Linked DNA regions of Saccharomyces cerevisiae S288C. The protein of the gene in region 2 interacts with the protein of the main gene of each other region in a pairwise test. Each region holds a gene or a part of one and is shown on either strand. Other genes may lie near its edges.

The links.
Region 1: the proteins of CST26 (region 2) and UIP3 interact in a two-hybrid assay, tested with the Saccharomyces cerevisiae proteins (one large-scale study listed by BioGRID).

What each region holds. Positions count from the first base shown.
Region 1 is NC_001133.9:177,476-188,408, forward strand, and holds UIP3 (DUP240 family protein UIP3), read left to right. Parts: upstream 1-6,294; coding exon 6,295-7,002; downstream 7,003-10,933. Other genes in the region: DFP1 (DUP240 family protein), read right to left, coding at 1,806-2,345; KTD1 (DUP240 family protein), read left to right, coding at 7,417-8,121; DFP2 (DUP240 family protein), read left to right, coding at 8,846-9,070; pheromone-regulated DUP240 family protein PRM9, read left to right, coding at 9,361-10,257; DUP240 family protein MST28, read left to right, coding at 10,632-10,933.
Region 2 is NC_001134.8:315,630-326,724, forward strand, and holds CST26 (putative acyltransferase), read right to left. Parts: upstream 5,981-11,095; coding exon 4,787-5,980; downstream 1-4,786. Other genes in the region: ATP3 (F1F0 ATP synthase subunit gamma), read left to right, coding at 1-881; FIG1 (Fig1p), read left to right, coding at 1,339-2,235; long-chain fatty acid transporter FAT1, read left to right, coding at 2,637-4,646; QDR3 (Qdr3p), read right to left, coding at 6,247-8,316; TCM62 (Tcm62p), read right to left, coding at 8,712-10,430. UniProt on the Saccharomyces cerevisiae protein: Acyltransferase with lysophosphatidic acid acyltransferase (LPAAT) activity. Fatty acyl substrates include 18:0-acyl-CoA, 16:0-acyl-CoA, 17:0-acyl-CoA and 14:0-acyl-CoA.

The DNA.
Region 1 (10,933 bases), on a different chromosome or scaffold from region 2:
AATTAGAAACAATGAAAAATTAAGTGTGAGCTCTTAGAGTCGCATCTGCAGGAATATGCACACAAAAAGGGGAGCTGTACGTAAATAATCAGACCACACAAACTATTGCCAACCATTTGATACTCACGCTAGATATGATGGGGGTTCTTGTTTGGACAACACAAGTCTCAGAGCCAGCGTAGATATGCTTGTACATAAATGACGACTGGGGCATCAATTGAATCGGGTTACATTGTGCGAGCTATTACATGAAGAGAATATGCCTTTAGGGTAATTTCCAAATGTAGGAAGTCTCGCTAAGTAGGGCGCCCAAATCTGTATAGCGATGTTGTTGAGGCCATATAGTAAAATGACGTGCCAATTACCGAGCTTTTGATGGAGGTAAAATCTAAGATTAATCTTGCGCCTTGAAACCACTAGAAATGAAAGGAATTGGTGAAAAAATAATCGCGCAATAGATGACATGGAACGACAGAAGTCTTGTATTGTGCACGAATCCGCAATATTCAAAGCCGAAGTTCATATACGAATGCGAACTATTTCTTAGGGTAGCTCTCTGTATGGGCCGCCATAAATTAGTACCAAAAGATAGGTTTTTGAAAAGGCTACAATGTGCTTTTTTCCTTCTTGCTTTCGAGTCCGGTGAACAGAATATTACGACGTCCTTGTATTAAGAGCCAGACCTCCTGTTAGCGTCACTATAAGAGTAAGTCTGAAATACGCAACAACTACAGTGCAATGAAAAAGTGCTCAACTCAATGACAATAAACAATTTAACCATGGCAGGTTAAAATATTACTGCGATCAGTAAAAATGGGGATATCACCTTTTGACACATAACATAGCAATAAAGTAACAGATCATTAGTGATCGGACAACCTGAACCAACGATATAATGTCGAAGCCACCACTACCTTTAAGATTAGTAGCGCTGCAGGGGGAGACAATGAGAGAAATTTCCCGCCACATGAACTGAGTCAGGAGTTTTTTTTTTCTTGCTGGAGAATCATTTAATTTCATGGTTAAACTCCTCTATAAGCATCCCATTCTCCCATGCCTGAAAACACTTTTGTCCATTCGATCCTCATGCAGCCCTCGTTAATATGCTAAAATGGCTCATTAAATTGTAGATTGTATCGTTCGAGAAACGTCAGGCATGATAGATGTTGCAATCACAGGACATTGATTATTTAATCCTGCTCTCAACATGTTCAATAAGTTGAAGAGTTGCTGATCTCCCCGTATATCTTATGAACCAAAGCATGGTGGGTGAATGTTATGGTTATCCTTGTTGAAAAATGATTGATAGACTGGATTGAGCGGAAAAACATGGGTCAATATGCTGATCTTGACATTTTTCAAAATCCACGGGGGATCAAATCAACTTCTTATAGCGTATGACCTCTTTTACATTGTTTAATGATGTTAAGATTGCGATATTATAGTCAGTTAAGTTACTCAAACGCACAGATTTAATAGAAAACTGCGTCTTCGTTGCCTAGTCGATCATAATAAATTCGCAGATTATTTCGAATTTGATCTCCTTCGAAATCAAGTTTATTCTCTTCACAACAAAAAATGCTTTTAACTTGAACAAAACTCGTAAACTATTTCCCCACTGTTGCTTCGGGACGACCCAGTTATTCAATATCTTGCAATGCTAATTTTTTTTGGGAGAGCAGTTGCAAATATTGCAAACACATCTAAAGCGTACCCACAATTTATGACTTCCTGGAGCCCAGAACAGCCCAAAAAAAAAAAGATGCGTTCTTTTTATACCAATATATTAGATACGTAAACTCTACTCATATTGCAGGTATGCCCACATCTGGATATTGACTTTGCCAATATTCCCGCACAGCATGGGCTTGAATTTCGGCTGCTTTAAAGAGGCACCACTTTACGGTTGGTTCAACATCAGAATTTTGAGTTGCAGCCTGATTTTCTGGAACACTGATGAACGGCTGTGTATTCGCTGTATCCCACTGTACATCAGGATATTTTCCCTTTATGAGATCCTTGAAAAATTCATAGCACTGGTGTTCACAAAAAAAGTGGTATGGTGTTTTCCATAAGCCAGCCTTGAACAAATATTGATTCATGTTATACGTTATGGTTTTCCATTCTTTCCCAGCTATCGATGGTCTATGAGTTATTACCTCTAGTAGAAGTTTTGTACGGAATGTTTCATTACTTATTGGTCTACTGAATGACCATATCTGAAGGACTACCATAGAGCCACCTAAACATATCCGGATCACCATGGCAGGGGAGAGAACACCAGAAAACCAAATGTTTGTTAAAGTCGCCAAAATCGTCAAGACAAAAAGGAGGAAATTGATCATTATATACTTGGCGCGTACAATTTCGTAAAGCAAATAACTCTGGTATGATGCAAACTCATCCTCTGGAAGGACGATATCAGCTGAGATTAAAGGACTTTCAGGGTTGTCAGGAGATCCTTCCCTCAATGGGATTGCTTTAGGATCGTCCGTGACATGAGTGTTTTTTTTAAATAAGATTGCATGTTTAACAAACGATTTAACTTGCTTTTGCTTACAAGTCAAGTAAACCTTATCCTGATAGCTTAGGAAAAATAGACTTGAATGTGTCGAACATTTCAAACCTCAATTGGTATTTTCCTTTTTTTCAACTGTACGTACATAGCTTTTCGCTTTCTTTAGCGCCCCCAGATGAAAGTATATATCGTAACAAGGATGGGAACATGAAAGGTACTGAAAAAACATCTGTATTTATTAAAAGTAAATCAAAAGCAGACTGGGAAGTTCTGTCGTAGGGATTTTTTTTTTAATGTTATGTGTGTAGGATTATTCTATTTCCTTGAATTTCTCGATCGAGATTTTTCGTACCTGTGTATTTTTGGATATAAGAGTGTTTCTGATCTATTGAGTGAGCAGGTCTCCAGCGGAATATAGAGTAGATTGAATATGGAAGAGGACTACATTAAGGCTTATTGTTAGTTAGTTACTGTTAGGACGCTTCGGCGAGCTGATGTCTGACTTCTCGTTGTATCAAAGAGCTCCCAATACGCCAGCGCATTTAAACTATGATCACGGAATGCTGGATTAGTAGTATAGCAAAAGTAACACTTGTCCACCGCAGACTCCATCACTTAGTCAACACCTTGGGTGTTTTACCGCTGATAATGGCCGTAAAATCGCCAGATATATATCATCATTGTTCTTCGCGAATAATACGTAACACAGTCTCTTTTCGAAATTTAGATGAGGACCATAGGCATGACTTATTTACTGAGATGTCCCTGCGTTAAAACTTTTACTGGCCGATTGCTAACTTTATATTTGTTAATAAAACTATTCACGCCTGTGTCCTAATTGTTGGATAATACCTAAACAATAACGATGTTGTATAGCTAAGAGGACGACCAGACAAAAAGTTATAAACTTTACCCTCGTTGAAAATGGGGCAGCCACCTATGAATCACTTCCCATTACAATGCCGAATAGCAAAATATGTAGTAGAACACGTACACGCATGATAATTACTTCCATGCTGTACTTATTTTTTGGGTGTCTCTTCAGAAAGAATGCTTTATATAACCATGTGTTTGAATTAGCGATCAGCTAATAACAAGTCAGTGTCCAAATAGTTAAAACATTGTGACCCAAATATCACAAATAAGTGGTTGTTTGGCCGAGCGGTCTAAGGCGCCTGATTCAAGAAATATCTTGACCGCAGTGAACTGTGGGAATACTCAGGTATCGTAAGATGCAAGAGTTCGAATCTCTTAGCAACCATTATTTTTTCTTTTTCCTCCTATACTTCATAATCTACGTAGGAATGAAAGTACCAACATTATACCAATGAGGGTGTGTTTCGTGGATGCATATACTCTGAAGATAAAAACAAACTCAAGTCCGCTTCCTACGGTTTGAGTATTTCTTACCACTACATAATAAAGAATATTACGTTAACTGTAAAATCAAGTAGACTTGGAAAATACAACGAGAACACTTTCCTGATTCTGCATCAGCGTTTTCTTATCACCAGCTGTACTTCTACATTAGCTAACTCTCCTTTCTATAAAGGGCGTCTTTCACTTCACTTGTGCCATGTTACAAAGCTCCAAACGCACTTCTAACTGAGTACAATGCACGATCCCACTGACAGACAAAACAGCTTCACAGAATTTGATCATGCCATCGTAAAAACCACGTAGTAAGGAATAAAAAATCCCGAAGTCGATCATACTATGTAGAGATGTACATGAATAGTCTAGGAATCTGGTCTTCCAGCATGTTGCTTTGGTCTGCTTCAAGCGCTATGGAAGCGCTCGCCATGAGATATGCTGTTTCAAGGCAAAATAGCAAAGCTCTTTGTAAAGAAATACAATTCAGAGAAGAAGCTACAGCATTTTGTTTCTGGATGATCCCTGCAGGTTCATACTACTAAGTAAATCTTGAACAGTTCAAATTTCAACAATTCAGAAACCGCTCTTTTTATATATACTCTACCAAACGAGATGAAACAGCATTTTTTTACTCTTATAAGGTACCAATATTTTGACGTATGCTTTCTTTAACGTTCACGATCGGGCTGGGCCATTAAACTTACCTTAGATATTATTTGGAACAGCACCGCAAGTGCTGATGTCCCAGAAATGGGCGCCGGTTCAATTAGGTCGTGAAGTCAGACATATGGAGACTCTCGGACTGAAAGCACTAAGGGATGATAGCTGGCATGCCAATTCCATTTTAAATTTACACATCAAGTTACAGGGTTTGGGAAAATCACGTTCAAAGCCTGAAAATTTGAGGTTGTTCACGGAAATCATTTGGTTATGTCTGTCGGCCTGCTATTTAGAGACATTTTTTATTGCAACAACCTACTCTATGCACTTACACGGAATCGCAGAATAACGCGCGCACAACACAATTGGGAAACGATAGGATTTTGAATAGTGTATTGCTTTGTACCGATTTAAATAATTCTTTCTCGTGTTGAATCCGAGTTGAAGATGAGTATGCTTTGAAGAGGTGAAATATCATCAGTAAAAAAAAATAACGACAACTGCAGGACTCGAACCTGCGCGGGCAAAGCCCAAAAGATTTCTAATCTTTCGCCTTAACCACTCGGCCAAGTTGCCAAAATTGTATGTTATTTGTTGTATCTCAAAATGAGATATGTCAGTATGACAATACGTCACCCTGAACGTTCATAAAACACATATGAAACAACCTTATAACAAAACGAACAACATGAGACAAAACCCGACCTTCCCTAGCTGAACTACCCAAAGTATAAATGCCTGAACAATTAGTTTAGATCCGAGATTCCGCGCTTCCACCACTTAGTATGATTCATATTTTATATAATATATAAGATAAGTAACATTCCGTGAATTAATCTGATAAACTGTTTTGACAACTGGTTACTTCCCTAAGACTGTTTATATTAGGATTGTCAAGACACTCCGGTATTACTCGAGCCCGTAATACAACATTATTTTCAGTGATAAAATATGTAAACCAATTATAAGAAAAAGGATTGCGTTGCATCACAACTGTAAACCATTAATTAAAAAGAGCAATTGCTATTTAGATTTGTTGCTGAGAATTGGCTAAAAAATCTGATAATTGTAGGACTTCTATTATTGCTAGGGGCAATGTGTTGGAATGCAATTCTGTTGGAATAAAAATCCACTATCGTCTATCAACTAATAGTTATATTATCAATATATTATCATATACGGTGTAGAGATGATGGCATAAGGTATGAAAAGCTGTCATCGAAGTTAGAGGAAGCTGAAGTGTAAGGATTGATAATGCAATAGGATAATGAAACATATAAAACGGAATGAGGAATAATCGTAAGATTGGTATATAGAAATATAGACTCCATTATGGGGATTCCTAGACCCTCGAGGAGAACCTTCAAGTATATTCTGTATACCTAATATTATAGCCTTTATCAACAATGGAATCCCAACAATTATCTCAAAATTCCCCCAATTCTCAACATCCGACTGCCATGCAATGTGCTTTTCTGGATCTCACTCATGATCATAATGGCCCTGTAAAAGGCTCGCACTATTATTATTATATCTTCACTATATATTATTTCGGAGGCTGTACCTATCAGTGAAAAAACGCCTCTAAAAATGAAAAAAAAAAAGAATATGAAAGGGGTTCTGAATTGCTAAAATATTTCGTCAAAGCTCAATTAGTATCATGATCAAGTCGTAATTCGAATCAGCATAACAACCTCCAAAACCATATAATAACCTTACACAAGACAAGATATCAATTCAACATGCAAACCCCTTCAGAAAATACCGACGTCAAGTTGGATACTCTCGACGAACCCAGTGCACATTTAATCGAGGAAAATGTGGCTCTTCCAGAGGATACATTCAATTCGTACTGGAGTTATATACTTAATGAAATCGCTCGTTGTAAACCGCTAATGATTATGTTCCTAATACCTGTGTGTTTGGTTTTATTGATTACGTTTTTTCATGATATCAAAGGTATCCTTGTGTTTTTAGTGATTTCTCTTATCCTCTCTATTATCATTTTATTGATCGGTATAACTGCCTTCGTGTCTGAGACCTTGAATAAGGGTTTCATAATTAAGCTTTTAGTAGAAGTCATTACACGTAAACCAGCAGTAGGGGGGAAGGAATGGAGAATAATCGCATATAATATGAACCAGTATCTGTTTGACCATGGGATATGGCATACTCCGTATTACTTTTTTTGTGAACATAGGTGCCATAAATTTTTCAAAAGCCTTATCAAACAGACAAGGTCGAATGCACATTTGAGTTCACCAACGAACGGTGCAGAGAATACGCAGTCAAACACACCAGCAAAAGAGGTTTCAAATGAGATGGTAAAACCTTATATCTTTAGTTCTGATCCAGTTTTAGAAGCTTACCTTATTAAAGCTGCGGAAATTCACAAAGAAGCTGAATTTGAGTATTGGAGAAAGCAATACCCAGAGGTTGATTTGCCTTAGGGCCGAATTTTTGGTATTTATCTAGTATATTCTAATATAAAATGTACGAGCATCATTAACTTCAAGAACATTACGAAGCCCGCAATTAAGTGTCAGTCCATCTGGGTGTAAAAGTTATGTACGCTCGAAACAAATTTTATGTAGTTTACTTTAGATGCAAATGCTATTATATATTTTGCTTTATGATCCTCGGCTTGATGCTCGCCAACGTGAGATAGCTGGTCATCACAATAGATCAGCCGGGACGCTTTTCGATCACATCGAATCCCTTCGGGACGTTGCAACAATACGTGAAAAATGCCTCAAAAATAATAAATACAATGGTGAACAACGTTAAAAAAGCATAAAACAGCTGGCTATTTTGATCAGGATAACATCTATAAGTGCCATATTAAGGCAAGATATCAATTGACCATGCAAACACCTTCAGAAAATACCGACGTAAAGATGGATACTCTCGACGAACCCAGTGCACATTTAATCGAAGAGAATGTAGCTCTTCCCGAAGACACATTCAGTTCACATCTGAGTTATGTACTTTATGAAATTGCTCATTGTAAACCGATCATGTTTATGATCATCATAATCGTGAGTTTGATCTCATTGATTGTGCTTTTTCATGATAACGACGGGTGCACTGTGATCTTAGTGATGTCCCTTATAGTAGCCTCCATGGCTTTAATGGTGGTTGCAGCATTCACATTCGGGAAAGCGATCACTGAACAGGAGTTCATGATAAAGCTTTTAGTGGAGGTGATCGCACGCAAGCCTGCGGGGAAGGAATGGGGTACTGTCGCATATAATATGAACCAATATCTATTCATGAAGAGACTATGGTATACCCCGTACTATTTCTATAGCGGCAAGAAGTGCCATGAGTTCTTCACCACTCTTATCAAGGAAGTGAATTCTGGTTCGCACTCGGATTCCTCATCGAATAGTGCCGAGGATACACAATCACCTGTCTCAGCAGGGAAGACTTCAAATGGTCTAAACAACTTTTATAGTATTAGATCAGACCCTATTTTGATGGCATATGTTTTGAAGGCAACACAAATAGAAAAGGAGGCTCAAAGTGAATACTGGAGAAAGCAATATCCTGACGCTGATTTACCTTGAAGCGGAAGCATTTTATTCACCAAGTATACTTACTTTTCTTTAAAACGAGAACAAGAATCGAATTCAAGAACATCTCGAAGCCAGAATTGAGCATCATATATTCGAGCTGTACAAACATCATGGCCTACAACTATCGTATTTGTAAGTTTTTTTAGAGGTTTTCATATTTGTTTAATAAGGGTTCTGTCAGTTTTTGTCACATTCTATTGTTGCGCTTCGCATAATGCAGCCAAGAAAATCCAAACAATAGAAAAAGAAAAAAAGGATCTCAAAAAGGGTTTGGTGTTGTAGTTATAAGAATAACTAGTGAATAAAAAAGCTGTTGTTTGGTCCGTATTACATTCGTCAAAAATTTAGTACTCAAATCGTGTATGCAATCGCAACCACAAAATAAAAATATTAGACTGGATGTGTTGAGTGGAGATGGTGCCAATTTAGTTGAGGGAAATGTGGTCCTTCCCAAAGACATGTTCAATTCGTACTTAAGTTATTCACTTTACGTGTTACGAGGGGGCTCATTGTAAGCCGATAATGATTATGTTCCTGGCATCTGTAATTTTGATTTCACTGACTAATTTCCGAGTATACCATCTCATGTCCCTTCTATCCTCTTTTTTCATCTCCGGGACAGACCGACAATAAAGCATCTAATATTAGGCTTTCGTTAGAGGTAAGCACACGCCAGCGTTCGGTGAAAGGGGAATGAAACATTATCACGTACAAGATGAATAAATATCTATTTGACCATAAAATATGGAGTACTCCTTACTACTTTTATTGCGAAGAAGATTGCCACCGTCTTTTTCTAAGTTTTATTGAGGGAAGAACTTTCGAGAAGCCAACAAGCAACGCTGAGGAAAATGTACAGGAGACTGAAGCTGGCGAATCTTTCACATTAAATCCCGGAGAAGATTTTCAAAATTGCTTTCCAAGACAGCGGATATTGTAGAACAATCTCAAGTGAAGTATTGGCAAGATATTGGTGCAATTATTTGAAAGGAAGGAGAAATATTCTGACAGTACCTTGCTAGCAAAGGGATTTACCAATCCACTGACGCTAAAATGGGGTAGTAAATTAGATAAATTGCATTCTAACGTGACTTTATATAGTGGGAAACAGATATGTAGCACACAAAACGGCATGATTATGCTTAATTGATTCCTATTTTTTAACGTAAATACTCTCCCAGAACGATCAGAAAACTTAACCCGCAACCATCTTTGCTGTGCTAACAACTTATGTCGCCTCAATACCATTTTTATTTTGTATCATTCCGGAACTTAGTATTGAATGAAAAATGCCTCCGAAGTAAAAAGCAGGTGATGAAAAGTTTCAATTGGTATAAGACAGATCGCTATTTTGATCCGCATAACATCCTTCAACACCATAGCAGAGCTATAGAGAAGACAAGATATAAACTGGGCATGCAAACATCTTCAGAAAGTACCGACGCCAAGTCGGATTTTCTCGACGAACCCAGTGCATATTTAATTGAGAAAAATGTGGCTCTTCCCAAGGACATATTCGGTTCGTACTTAAGTTATTGGATATATGAAGTTACTCGTCATAAAGCGGCAGTAATTTTGCTCGTACTTATTGTGACTTCAATTTTATTATTAGTGTTTTTTTATAATACGGAATTTTGCGTTGCCTTTGAGATACTATTGTTTTCCTTTTGCTTTCCAGGAACATGCATGGTTGTAATTGCATTTAGTGAACCGATCGGTGATCGGGAATTTAAAGTTAAGCTTCTGATGGAAATTATCACACGTAAACCGGCGGTAAAGGGGAAAGAATGGAGGACAATTACATACAAGATGAACCAGTATTTATTTGATCATGGGCTATGGGATACTCCCTACTACTTTTACCGTGATGAAGATTGCCACCGTTATTTTCTAAGTCTTATTAAGGGAAGAACTTTCAAGAAGCAAAAGGAATCGTCAGCCAGCAATGTTAAAGACGCACAATCAAATGACGAAACCGCTGGCACACCAAACGAAGCCGCTGAGTCTTCTAGTTTTAGTGCCGGACCGAACTTTATAAAGCTCCTCACCAAGGCAGCCGAAATCGAACAACAATTTCAAAAGGAATATTGGCGACAAGAGTATCCTGGTGTCGATGAGTTTTTTTAGACAGAAGACGGGAGACACTAGCACACAACTTTACCAGGCAAGGTATTTGACGCTAGCATGTGTCCAATTCAGTGTCATTTATGATTTTTTGTAGTAGGATATAAATATATACAGCGCTCCAAATAGTGCGGTTGCCCCAAAAACACCACGGAACCTCATCTGTTCTCGTACTTTGTTGTGACAAAGTAGCTCACTGCCTTATTATCACATTTTCATTATGCAACGCTTCGGAAAATACGATGTTGAAAATGCCTCTAGAGATGAAAAACAATCGTAAAAGGGTCCTGCGTAATTGAAACATTTGATCAGTATGCAGTGGCACAGAAACAACCAGGAATACTATAGTCATAGGCAATACAAGGTATATATTGGCTATGCAGACCCCTCCAGAAAGTACCGACGTCAAGTTAGATACACTTAACGAACCTAGTGCACATTTAATTGAGAAAAATGTGGCTCTTCCTAAGGACATATTCCGTTCGTACTTGAGTTATTGGATCTATGAAATCGCTCGCTATACACCAGTCATGATTTTGTCCCTGGTAATAGGGGTTTTGGTTTTATTAATTATATTTTTTAATGACAACGAAGCTTGTGTTTTCAATTCTGCAATATTTGCTTTTACTTCTCTTGTAGGTTTGTTAATAATATTAAGTGATGGTAATCCAAAGCTAGT
Region 2 (11,095 bases):
CGCAAGTGGGTATTCTTTATAAGACTAACCCAGTGAGAACTTATGCTACTTTGAAAGAAGTGGAAATGCGTTTGAAATCTATCAAAAATATTGAGAAGATCACAAAAACTATGAAGATTGTTGCATCTACAAGATTGAGTAAAGCTGAAAAGGCTAAAATTTCCGCAAAGAAGATGGATGAAGCAGAGCAGTTGTTTTACAAGAACGCCGAAACCAAAAATTTGGATGTTGAGGCTACTGAAACAGGTGCTCCTAAAGAGTTGATTGTTGCTATCACCTCTGATAAGGGGTTGTGTGGTTCTATCCACTCTCAATTGGCTAAAGCTGTGAGAAGACATTTGAATGATCAACCAAACGCCGATATAGTCACTATTGGTGATAAAATTAAAATGCAGCTATTGAGAACCCATCCTAACAACATTAAATTGTCTATTAATGGAATTGGTAAAGATGCCCCAACTTTCCAAGAATCTGCTTTGATTGCCGATAAGTTATTGAGTGTCATGAAGGCCGGCACTTACCCAAAGATTTCCATTTTCTACAATGACCCAGTGTCTTCCCTATCTTTTGAACCATCTGAAAAACCGATCTTTAACGCCAAGACCATTGAACAATCCCCATCATTCGGCAAATTTGAGATCGACACGGACGCAAACGTTCCAAGAGATTTGTTTGAATATACTTTGGCTAACCAAATGTTGACAGCAATGGCTCAAGGTTATGCTGCTGAAATTTCCGCCAGAAGAAACGCTATGGATAACGCTTCCAAGAATGCCGGTGATATGATCAATCGTTACTCTATCTTGTACAACAGAACAAGACAAGCTGTCATTACTAATGAACTGGTTGATATTATTACTGGTGCTTCCTCTTTGGGATGATAAAAAAATCACCCTGCATTGCCTCTTTATTTGACGTTGTTTTTGTAGAACATGAAACGAATTTTGACTTGATGAGACGAAGTATATATCCAAAGAATACCTTAAATAGAAAAGGAAAGATAATAAATACTAAACACTACTATATATTCAGGTAAAATACAAAAATTATAACATTTTTAAAACTTTTTTTTTTTGAAAGTCCTTCTCGCTTTAGGATTTTTTCCCATTAAGATTATGATGGTTTCATGTATGTGTCAGTTAAAAAAAATATGGCTAAGTAGCAATGAAACGAACCAAGAAAATGAAAACAATATATAGTGCTGTTGAAATAACAAAGACATTGGTATATATTTGTAAAATGTCTGTTAAATGTTTTTTATCTCAGGTTCTTGCTTGTCTTTGGTAGAAGAAATTATAGTAAACAAACAAACAAACAAACAAAAAAAAAAAAAAAAAAATGGTCGCAATCTCAATGATTTGGTTTTTTACCAAGCGTATGCCCAGAATATTTGCATTAGCTTTTAATTTAATTTCAATATTTCTTTTGATTTTTCTTCTCATCGGCTGTTACAACCCGTCAAATCAGTCAACATTTCTAGTGAAGTATAAATTTGATGACAACTCACCTTTTTATACGATCATAGAGAAATCATATGAAAAATCAAATACAACTCTGGGCTTGGAGGAAGTCATTATAAGATCCGGTTACATGGGTGTTTGTATTGATAACATTCCCTCCCAATATAGCTCTTACAATAATATGACTACATTCTCCAATTCAATTTGCTATGCAAGAAAGAATTTAAGCTCGGTTCCCTTATACAGAGACTTGGAAATTCAACTCTCAAATATTGCATCTTCCAGCTCCAAAACCCAATCAAGCGTTGTCTTGAACATTTTGAAGTTAGCCCAATTAACTTCGGTTAATGTTATACATCCATATGTCTTGATGGCAACTGTAATCCTAACAATCCTAATGTTTCTATTTATTCTGTATGTAACTGTCCCTAAGTTACCATTCAAACTAGCGGTTAATAAATTTCTACTGTTGCTAAGTTCAACTATAGTTTTGACATGGGGTATTGGTGCGATGTGGACTCATGTAGGGATAAATGCAAGTTACAGATTGGTTCCATCATCAAGTATGAATATAATCACTGTCAAGAAGGGCAAGAAGGCAGCAGTAATGGCTTGGTTTAGCTTTGCATTCCTCCTTTTAGACAGTGTGGTTTTATGGTTAATATTTTTAAGGGATAGGAAAAGCTTGAAAGATGAAATTGATAATGTTCCATGTGCCCAAAATAGGTACAATAACTACTCTTCGGATTCATCTACATTGCATTCCAAAGTTTAGTTTTATCCTCAAATAAACATATAAGTTTTGAGCGGATATTTCAGAATGTCAATTTTTAAAAGTAAAAGGAGAAAAAATTTATATAATTCACGATTAACATTATATAATGTGATGAACTACTTAAAAAATTTAACGTTCGATAATTAAGTAACAACAGAGAAAATATGAGCTTACCTAAACTCTAATCATTACCGTCTGTTTTATTTACTGTCACCTTGATGAGCGACTAAAAAGATAGAACGCGGGTTTTTCGCGCAATGTAACAAAGCTCCAGAAATTTTTTATAAATACTAATGTTATAGCAAAAAAAATAAGGACCTTAAAGTCGTAAACTAAATTGAAAAGCCCAAATCATTCAAATTCTATATCGTTGAACTTTTAATAGGCTGCGAATACCGACTATGTCTCCCATACAGGTTGTTGTCTTTGCCTTGTCAAGGATTTTCCTGCTATTATTCAGACTTATCAAGCTAATTATAACCCCTATCCAGAAATCACTGGGTTATCTATTTGGTAATTATTTTGATGAATTAGACCGTAAATATAGATACAAGGAGGATTGGTATATTATTCCTTACTTTTTGAAAAGCGTGTTTTGTTATATCATTGATGTGAGAAGACATAGGTTTCAAAACTGGTACTTATTTATTAAACAGGTCCAACAAAATGGTGACCATTTAGCGATTAGTTACACCCGTCCCATGGCCGAAAAGGGAGAATTTCAACTCGAAACCTTTACGTATATTGAAACTTATAACATAGTGTTGAGATTGTCTCATATTTTGCATTTTGATTATAACGTTCAGGCCGGTGACTACGTGGCAATCGATTGTACTAATAAACCTCTTTTCGTATTTTTATGGCTTTCTTTGTGGAACATTGGGGCTATTCCAGCTTTTTTAAACTATAATACTAAAGGCACTCCGCTGGTTCACTCCCTAAAGATTTCCAATATTACGCAGGTATTTATTGACCCTGATGCCAGTAATCCGATCAGAGAATCGGAAGAAGAAATCAAAAACGCACTTCCTGATGTTAAATTAAACTATCTTGAAGAACAAGACTTAATGCATGAACTTTTAAATTCGCAATCACCGGAATTCTTACAACAAGACAACGTTAGGACACCACTAGGCTTGACCGATTTTAAACCCTCTATGTTAATTTATACATCTGGAACCACTGGTTTGCCTAAATCCGCTATTATGTCTTGGAGAAAATCCTCCGTAGGTTGTCAAGTTTTTGGTCATGTTTTACATATGACTAATGAAAGCACTGTGTTCACAGCCATGCCATTGTTCCATTCAACTGCTGCCTTATTAGGTGCGTGCGCCATTCTATCTCACGGTGGTTGCCTTGCGTTATCGCATAAATTTTCTGCCAGTACATTTTGGAAGCAAGTTTATTTAACAGGAGCCACGCACATCCAATATGTCGGAGAAGTCTGTAGATACCTGTTACATACGCCAATTTCTAAGTATGAAAAGATGCATAAGGTGAAGGTTGCTTATGGTAACGGGCTGAGACCTGACATCTGGCAGGACTTCAGGAAGAGGTTCAACATAGAAGTTATTGGTGAATTCTATGCCGCAACTGAAGCTCCTTTTGCTACAACTACCTTCCAGAAAGGTGACTTTGGAATTGGCGCATGTAGGAACTATGGTACTATAATTCAATGGTTTTTGTCATTCCAACAAACATTGGTAAGGATGGACCCAAATGACGATTCCGTTATATATAGAAATTCCAAGGGTTTCTGCGAAGTGGCCCCTGTTGGCGAACCAGGAGAAATGTTAATGAGAATCTTTTTCCCTAAAAAACCAGAAACATCTTTTCAAGGTTATCTTGGTAATGCCAAGGAAACAAAGTCCAAAGTTGTGAGGGATGTCTTCAGACGTGGCGATGCTTGGTATAGATGTGGAGATTTATTAAAAGCGGACGAATATGGATTATGGTATTTCCTTGATAGAATGGGTGATACTTTCAGATGGAAATCTGAAAATGTTTCCACTACTGAAGTAGAAGATCAGTTGACGGCCAGTAACAAAGAACAATATGCACAAGTTCTAGTTGTTGGTATTAAAGTACCTAAATATGAAGGTAGAGCTGGTTTTGCAGTTATTAAACTAACTGACAACTCTCTTGACATCACTGCAAAGACCAAATTATTAAATGATTCCTTGAGCCGGTTAAATCTACCGTCTTATGCTATGCCCCTATTTGTTAAATTTGTTGATGAAATTAAAATGACAGATAATCATAAAATTTTGAAGAAGGTTTATAGAGAGCAAAAATTACCAAAGGGTTTGGATGGAAATGACACTATTTTTTGGCTCAAGAATTACAAGCGCTATGAAGTCTTGACCGCTGCTGATTGGGAAGCCATCGATGCACAAACAATTAAATTATGATTTGATGTTCCTGAATTAGGATAAAGTATTTTTCCTTGCACGAGAGTACGTATGTAAACGTAATATTGATAAAGAATCAAAAAAAGTTTTATATCTATCTATATATGTACCTAATAACATATGGAAAGGATTATTTAAATTCAAAAAATAAAACAATAAAGTTTATAAACTAACCAAATTATTGTTAGAGTTGGTAATATTAGCACTTCAGTTAACTCAATACGATTGATCTTGAAACTATCGGTAACTGAATGGTTTGTTTCAGGATCACTTACGAATGATCCAGTGGAATAGTACCTTTCCATTAGAGCATCCTTCTCACTCCAAATTTTATACAGCCATTCTGAAAATTCATTCTCGTCCTCTAATGGAATATCTTTAACATCAAATGCTCTGATGTGAATATCGACTAACTTCGGGTATTTTCCTTCTAAAAATATGCTCTTCAGCCCATATATAAGCTCACCATATTCCTCCTGTTTTACACCGGAGTAGCCGATCGTAATATCATAAAGACTTTCAATACTTGGCTTCAACTTTTGTAACGAGTATCTTAGGCCTGTAGAATGAGGCAGTAGCACATTCTTGAATGGCTTTTTGCCTATTTTGGCAGCATATTTAGCACTTTTTTGCCTAGTATCAGCACTGAGATTTGTACCTTCAGGGAATAGGATAAGATTGTATGGCCAATGGATTTGTTTTGGATCAATAACCTCCGGATTCCATATGCTCTCTCCTTCCTCAGTTATGCGCTCAGGTGACTTTCCAGCAAGTGAGCCGGCGCCCCTTGCATTCGAATCAAGGCCAGCAAGGCTGTTGCTTAGGGTTATTTTGTCTTGTGCCCACTTTCTACTCATAAAAATGAAATTATAGTTTCTCATACCGAAACCGAGGATAGGAATGGAAGCCAACGATTTTTTTAAAATAATGAAGACATTAGCCCCTAAGTTCGATGTGTAAGCCAACCACCATAAAAATATCCAATCCGTGTATATTTGGTGATTGCAAATGGCCACCGAATTGGACTTTAGATGAGAAAGAATCCTTTTCTTCTTCAAGTCTAAAAAAAAAGTACCTTTAGGAACACTGGAATTTTCAGTGGTAATTCTCACTGCAGATGGTGCGACAACATGCAAAATGGATGATACCAAGACAATAAATAATCTTTTGGTTTTATTGAGACCAATTTGTTTCCTTATATCATTTCTACAGTAAAGAGTCTTATAGGTGAGTTGGAGAAACAAAAGAATAAGGCATCCCTGGAAGAAAATCAATAAGGAAATACCTGGGACGACGACTTTTCGAACTTTATGAGCTATTTTTTGATGCAGCATCAGCTTATTGACCTCGCTAGCAATCTCAATACCAGTGGACCTGATATATCCTTTTTTTTTGTTGGCTAGTGTTCATTAATGATCTTTCGCGTTTATATTTCTTTTTCTGATGAGTTTTTCGCCTCTTGAGATGTTGTTGAACATTATTTAATAATACTTTTAGCACAATAACGATTTACCATAAACTAAAGTAAACTATGTATGTGCCACCCTATGAAAAGTCTACAATGAAAATATTTACGCTTCCGTCTTATTAACCGATATGATTAATCAATTTTGTCGTACAATTTTTGTAAATCGTAGTTCTCTCTCCAGTAATCACCGTGCTTTTTCAGTATTATAAGTACACTGCTAGCACCCAAGACGATAAAGGCCAGCATTGTGAAAGCCCACCCAGTTCCCATACCGTTTAACATGGGTGTGGTGACAAAGACTGCGGTTGCAGCCAAGATTTGCCTTATTAAATTATTCAAAGCAACACCGGTGGCACCCTTTCCCGGCAATGAATCGACTAAATAGGAAAGGGTAGCACCAATTGTCATCATAGCTGCATATCCAAAGAGGGCTGTTCCAATTAGTGGCGTTACCCAGTGGCATTTTTTATCTAGGCACCAGCCAAATATCAATAGCGCAATGGGGAAAGATATTACAGATGTAACAACATTCCACGATATACGAGCTTCAGGAGCAAGAATTCCATATTTCTCTTTGTATCTTTTTAAAAGCATGTCCACCCAACGTCCACCGTAAATTGAGGCGAAAAAGTATGTTACAGAATTCGGAATATACAGTAGACCAATGTATAATGGTTTAAAGTTGTAAGGAGGCCTTGAATATTTATATTCAACTGTCATATTAACAAAGTATACTGTGGAAAAGGAAATTGCGGAAAATGTTATTGCAAGTGCCACGGGTGGATATTCTAGGAAGTGCAATGATTTTAAAGGCTTGATAAAATAAACAAAAAAGGTGTCCCAGACCTTCCTCACCGCTGATACCTGTTTAGGAGCGATTTCACCTCCATTACTGGATAGCACTTTTTTGACTTGCTCTTCCAGGTTGGTTTGTAATTTTCTCAGACTATTTTCTCGAATCGATCTCGCTAACTTTGGATCTGTTGATCTTATTCTCGTAACTTGTGCTGTTGTTGCATCGATACCGCTATCATCTAGCTGATATTCATACAGACTTCTACTCGCCTCTGTATAAATCCGTTGCAATTGGGTTTCTCCAGCTCGACCATCATAAGTATTGGGGCTAGAGTGACTTTCTAAATCTAGCGAGTCTTGATCCCTTACCTCTCCAACGTAGTTATGCTTCTCAGTAGATAATGTGGCAACTTGGTTTTCAATTCGATCTGTCTCATCTTCTCCCCTCTGATAATCTTCTTGTATCTCTCCACGTTCGTTATTGTCTACTTGAATACGTCTTTCAGCCAAAATTTGAGCGATAGCGCCTTTAGAATCTTGTTTTCTTAATGTTTCAGGTAGTAACACCGTCAAAAGAATGACATTACATCCGGATAAAATAACCATAAACCATTGAGTGGATCTCCAGGGCCAGCGATTCACTAACAAAGATCCAAAAATTGGAGATAGTAGCGGCGCCAGTAGTGGACCCAAATAGTAATAACTCAAATTTTTACCTCTATCTTCGCTAATATATAAATCAGCCACTGTTCCAGCACCTACACTTTGAACACTGGCAGAAGCAGCCCCACAGAGCATTCTCAAGGCAATAAATGAGTTGATATCAGGAGCTAGAGCAGACCCGATATTAAATGCAAACAATAATGCAAATGAAGTTATGTAAGTAGTTCTTCTGCCCTCTAGCTCGGATAGAGAAGACCACCACAATGGGAAAACACCAAGACTTAAAAGGTACACACCAATTGAAACGTTTACCATAATCACTGATGTTTTAAATTCTGTTGTGATTGAGTTGATCGCTGGAAAAATGATAGATGTGCCCATGGGGCCCATCATGGAGGAAAACGCAATCAAGAAGACAATCATCTTTTTCATCATCGGTGGATAATCTCTGGCATCCTTGAACTCCGGTATAATGGCGAGTTGAGGCAATAGTCCCCTACGTTGATTCTTTGGAACAACGTATTCCTCACTCTTCAACCTACTTAGCTGGTTGTCTCTGTGTTCACGACTATTTGATGCCGTACTTTCCAGATTGGTCTTTTCGTAACTATAATCGTTGTGCTCGCTGTGCGGGCTGCCGCTGCTTTCATCGCAGTGCATCATAACATGATTGTTCGGTAGTGAATTGTCAGAGCAATTACTCCTCAAAGACCCTACATTCGATTGTGAACCTTGGGCTTGCATGTTTATCGCTTTCTGACTTCGGTCCTAGCATAGACGTTAACAAGTTAGAAAGATGTGAATACATATGCCTTCAACCCTGTTTTCTTTTAAGGATACAAGGACACAGCTATTACAACAAATTTTGTTGGTTTCTATCTTATCTAATCGATAATCTTTTAATATTTTAATCTAATCGCAGTTATCCAAAACTGGAATGAGATGGTTCAAATCCCCAAAGGTAGATGGAGTTACTGCTGAGGCGTGGAAAAACCCGAGTTTTTCCGAAGCCGCATATGAGAAATTGAGCAGGAATAATAGATATTTACGAAGAGGTAAAAGTGATAAAAGGCAGCGCCGTGGCAATATCTATTTACAATGACTCATTCTGACTATTTAAAAGTATGTAAGGGCTTTATCTAGGCTTTGTGCCGTTCAGGCTTTTTGTATACACATGTGATAATTGTATTACAGCTTGTAAGTAATTCAATGAACGTTTCTACACCGGCTAAACAAGAATCCATTTTGCTCCATGGCTCCAAGTTTCCATCCTTTACTGTGTTCACCGGTTCTGAATTTGGAGAAAACTTGGCCATTGGAAACGATTTTTCGTTTATAGCGCCTGCTATCAGGCTATTGATCTCATAATAGTTGTACCCATATGCATTCTTAAACGCCACTTCTGATGGGAGAATAACTGCTGATAAAACAGCATTGATGCCTACCTTAGTCATGAAATTGGGTTCATTTGCTTTCAGTTCATTCAAACCTGGAATTGCCTTCAGTAGGGAGATGCCGTAACCTGGGATGAAACCTTTGGCCAGCCCATGACATAGGACGTTATTTAAGCAATTATCTATTGCATTTCTTCTTCTGTCGATTTCGATTTCGTTATGTCCACCAATGCTTAAAGTGACCGTATTTTGGAGGAAGGATTTCGGAACTTTATTTGGAATCGCTTCAGCATCAATGGAGTTATATAAGAATGCCTCCCCTGTGGTCGCTTTTATGGATTCGATACTGCCGTAATATTTATCCGCACACATTTTGCTTGGCACTAAAGGACTATATTCTGGTGAGTAGATGCTGTCATATCCGCAAGGCAACCGTAAGAACTTTATAAAATCAAGATTCTCCTGTGGCGCTAAGTCATTGTTCGCCTTTTTAGAGTACTTCAAAACCACTATTCGGCTTTCATTATTTTCTCTCTTGTTTCTGTTATTGTTAATTGTAACGGATGTTAATGCATCACCTGTGCAATCTCCGTTAACGATTAAGAGAACAGATTTTCTCAACTTTCTTGCATACGTTATCGTGGGTAGAATTTTATTAGCGTCTCGTAACGTCCCATCATACATAAGAACTAGCATATCTTTATCAATGGAAACTAATTTCTTAGTAGGCAACTCCAGGGACCTTAAATAGGCTTCATTACTATCTAAAATACCAGCTGGATATTTCCAACCCTTGGATACATCAACCTCATCGTAAGTTTTGTTGCCGTTTATGACCCGCACAATGTCATCCGAAAACAATTCATAATTAATGGCTTTCAAAACCCTTTTGATGCTTTGGCTGTCTGAGGAGGACATAGTCAATTGCTCGACCAGAGCATCAACATCGTTTTGACTTTTCACTATAATCTTGTTCTTCGCAAGAAAATCTCTGATATATCGTAATCCGGCCTTGATCCCATTGGTCACTTCTTTTTCGGGATACTTGAAATAGTGCTCCAGTAAAGAGCATGTCAAAGATGTTGAAGTTGCTGTTAAGTTGTCCTGAATGCAATCCATGAATAATTGTAGACCAACCCTCCCCAGCTTTCGAGGCCTGTTTGATTGAAGTCGTGTGTTGGTAGCTTCATCTACTTGTAGGGAATCTAGTAACTCACGCATTACATTGTGAAGTCTCATGGTATCATGAGAACTAACGACCTGTGGCTTGGATTTATACTTAGGTTCATATATCAATGTTTTATTGTAGGAGGATGAAGTTATTATTTTTTCCAACAGCTTAATACCAGAGAGCGTATCTCTGAGAACCTGAAGGTTTTTTGTTCTATAGATTGGGGTGTGTAACGTTTTTACCGAACATTTCGTTTGATGATTTCCCAATTTCCTCAAACAATTCCTCAGCATACTCGTTAAAGCATAAGAGAGTTTTATGTTTACAGTAGTGTGGGAGAAAATAACGCCAGGTTAAAGCTCGTAAAAGGTAAACTATCGCACTATCGAAACTTTTGTTTCACAGGGAATGGAAGAAAGGGCCTTTATTTTTTACATTTTTTTAAGCCATAACGGATTTTAGTTACCGAGATTTTCAATCCTATAAGAATTACCTAAACTATTAAAAGCGGACCCATCTAAAACATAACGTTCGGCAAGTAGATGTATTGTTCCAAAAAGGCAATACATCCATACAACGGTGCCACCGATCTGTAATGAATGCTCCGTAATGTTTGGGGGATTCATTAAATTTACTGCTGGAACCGAGAGAGAAACACGACAGAGCAATTCATATAAATGAATAAATGAAAACTCGGTCGTATTGCCCTTAAACGTTTATAGGACCAGGTTGGCTACTTCCTCATCTCAATTTTGTGATAGGGGAGGTCTGCGTAAGGAATCAATTCGGATACCTTGGTAGTACTTTTAGGGGCACATTTTTTATTTCTACTTCTTGTATTATTAGGTATCACTGAGATCTATCTCTAATGATGCCTTCACTCCCACAGATAGCGGAAGACATTAATGCACTTCAAATCAAAACTTCTTCAACTAAAGCTACTCTTTTCGAACGCAGA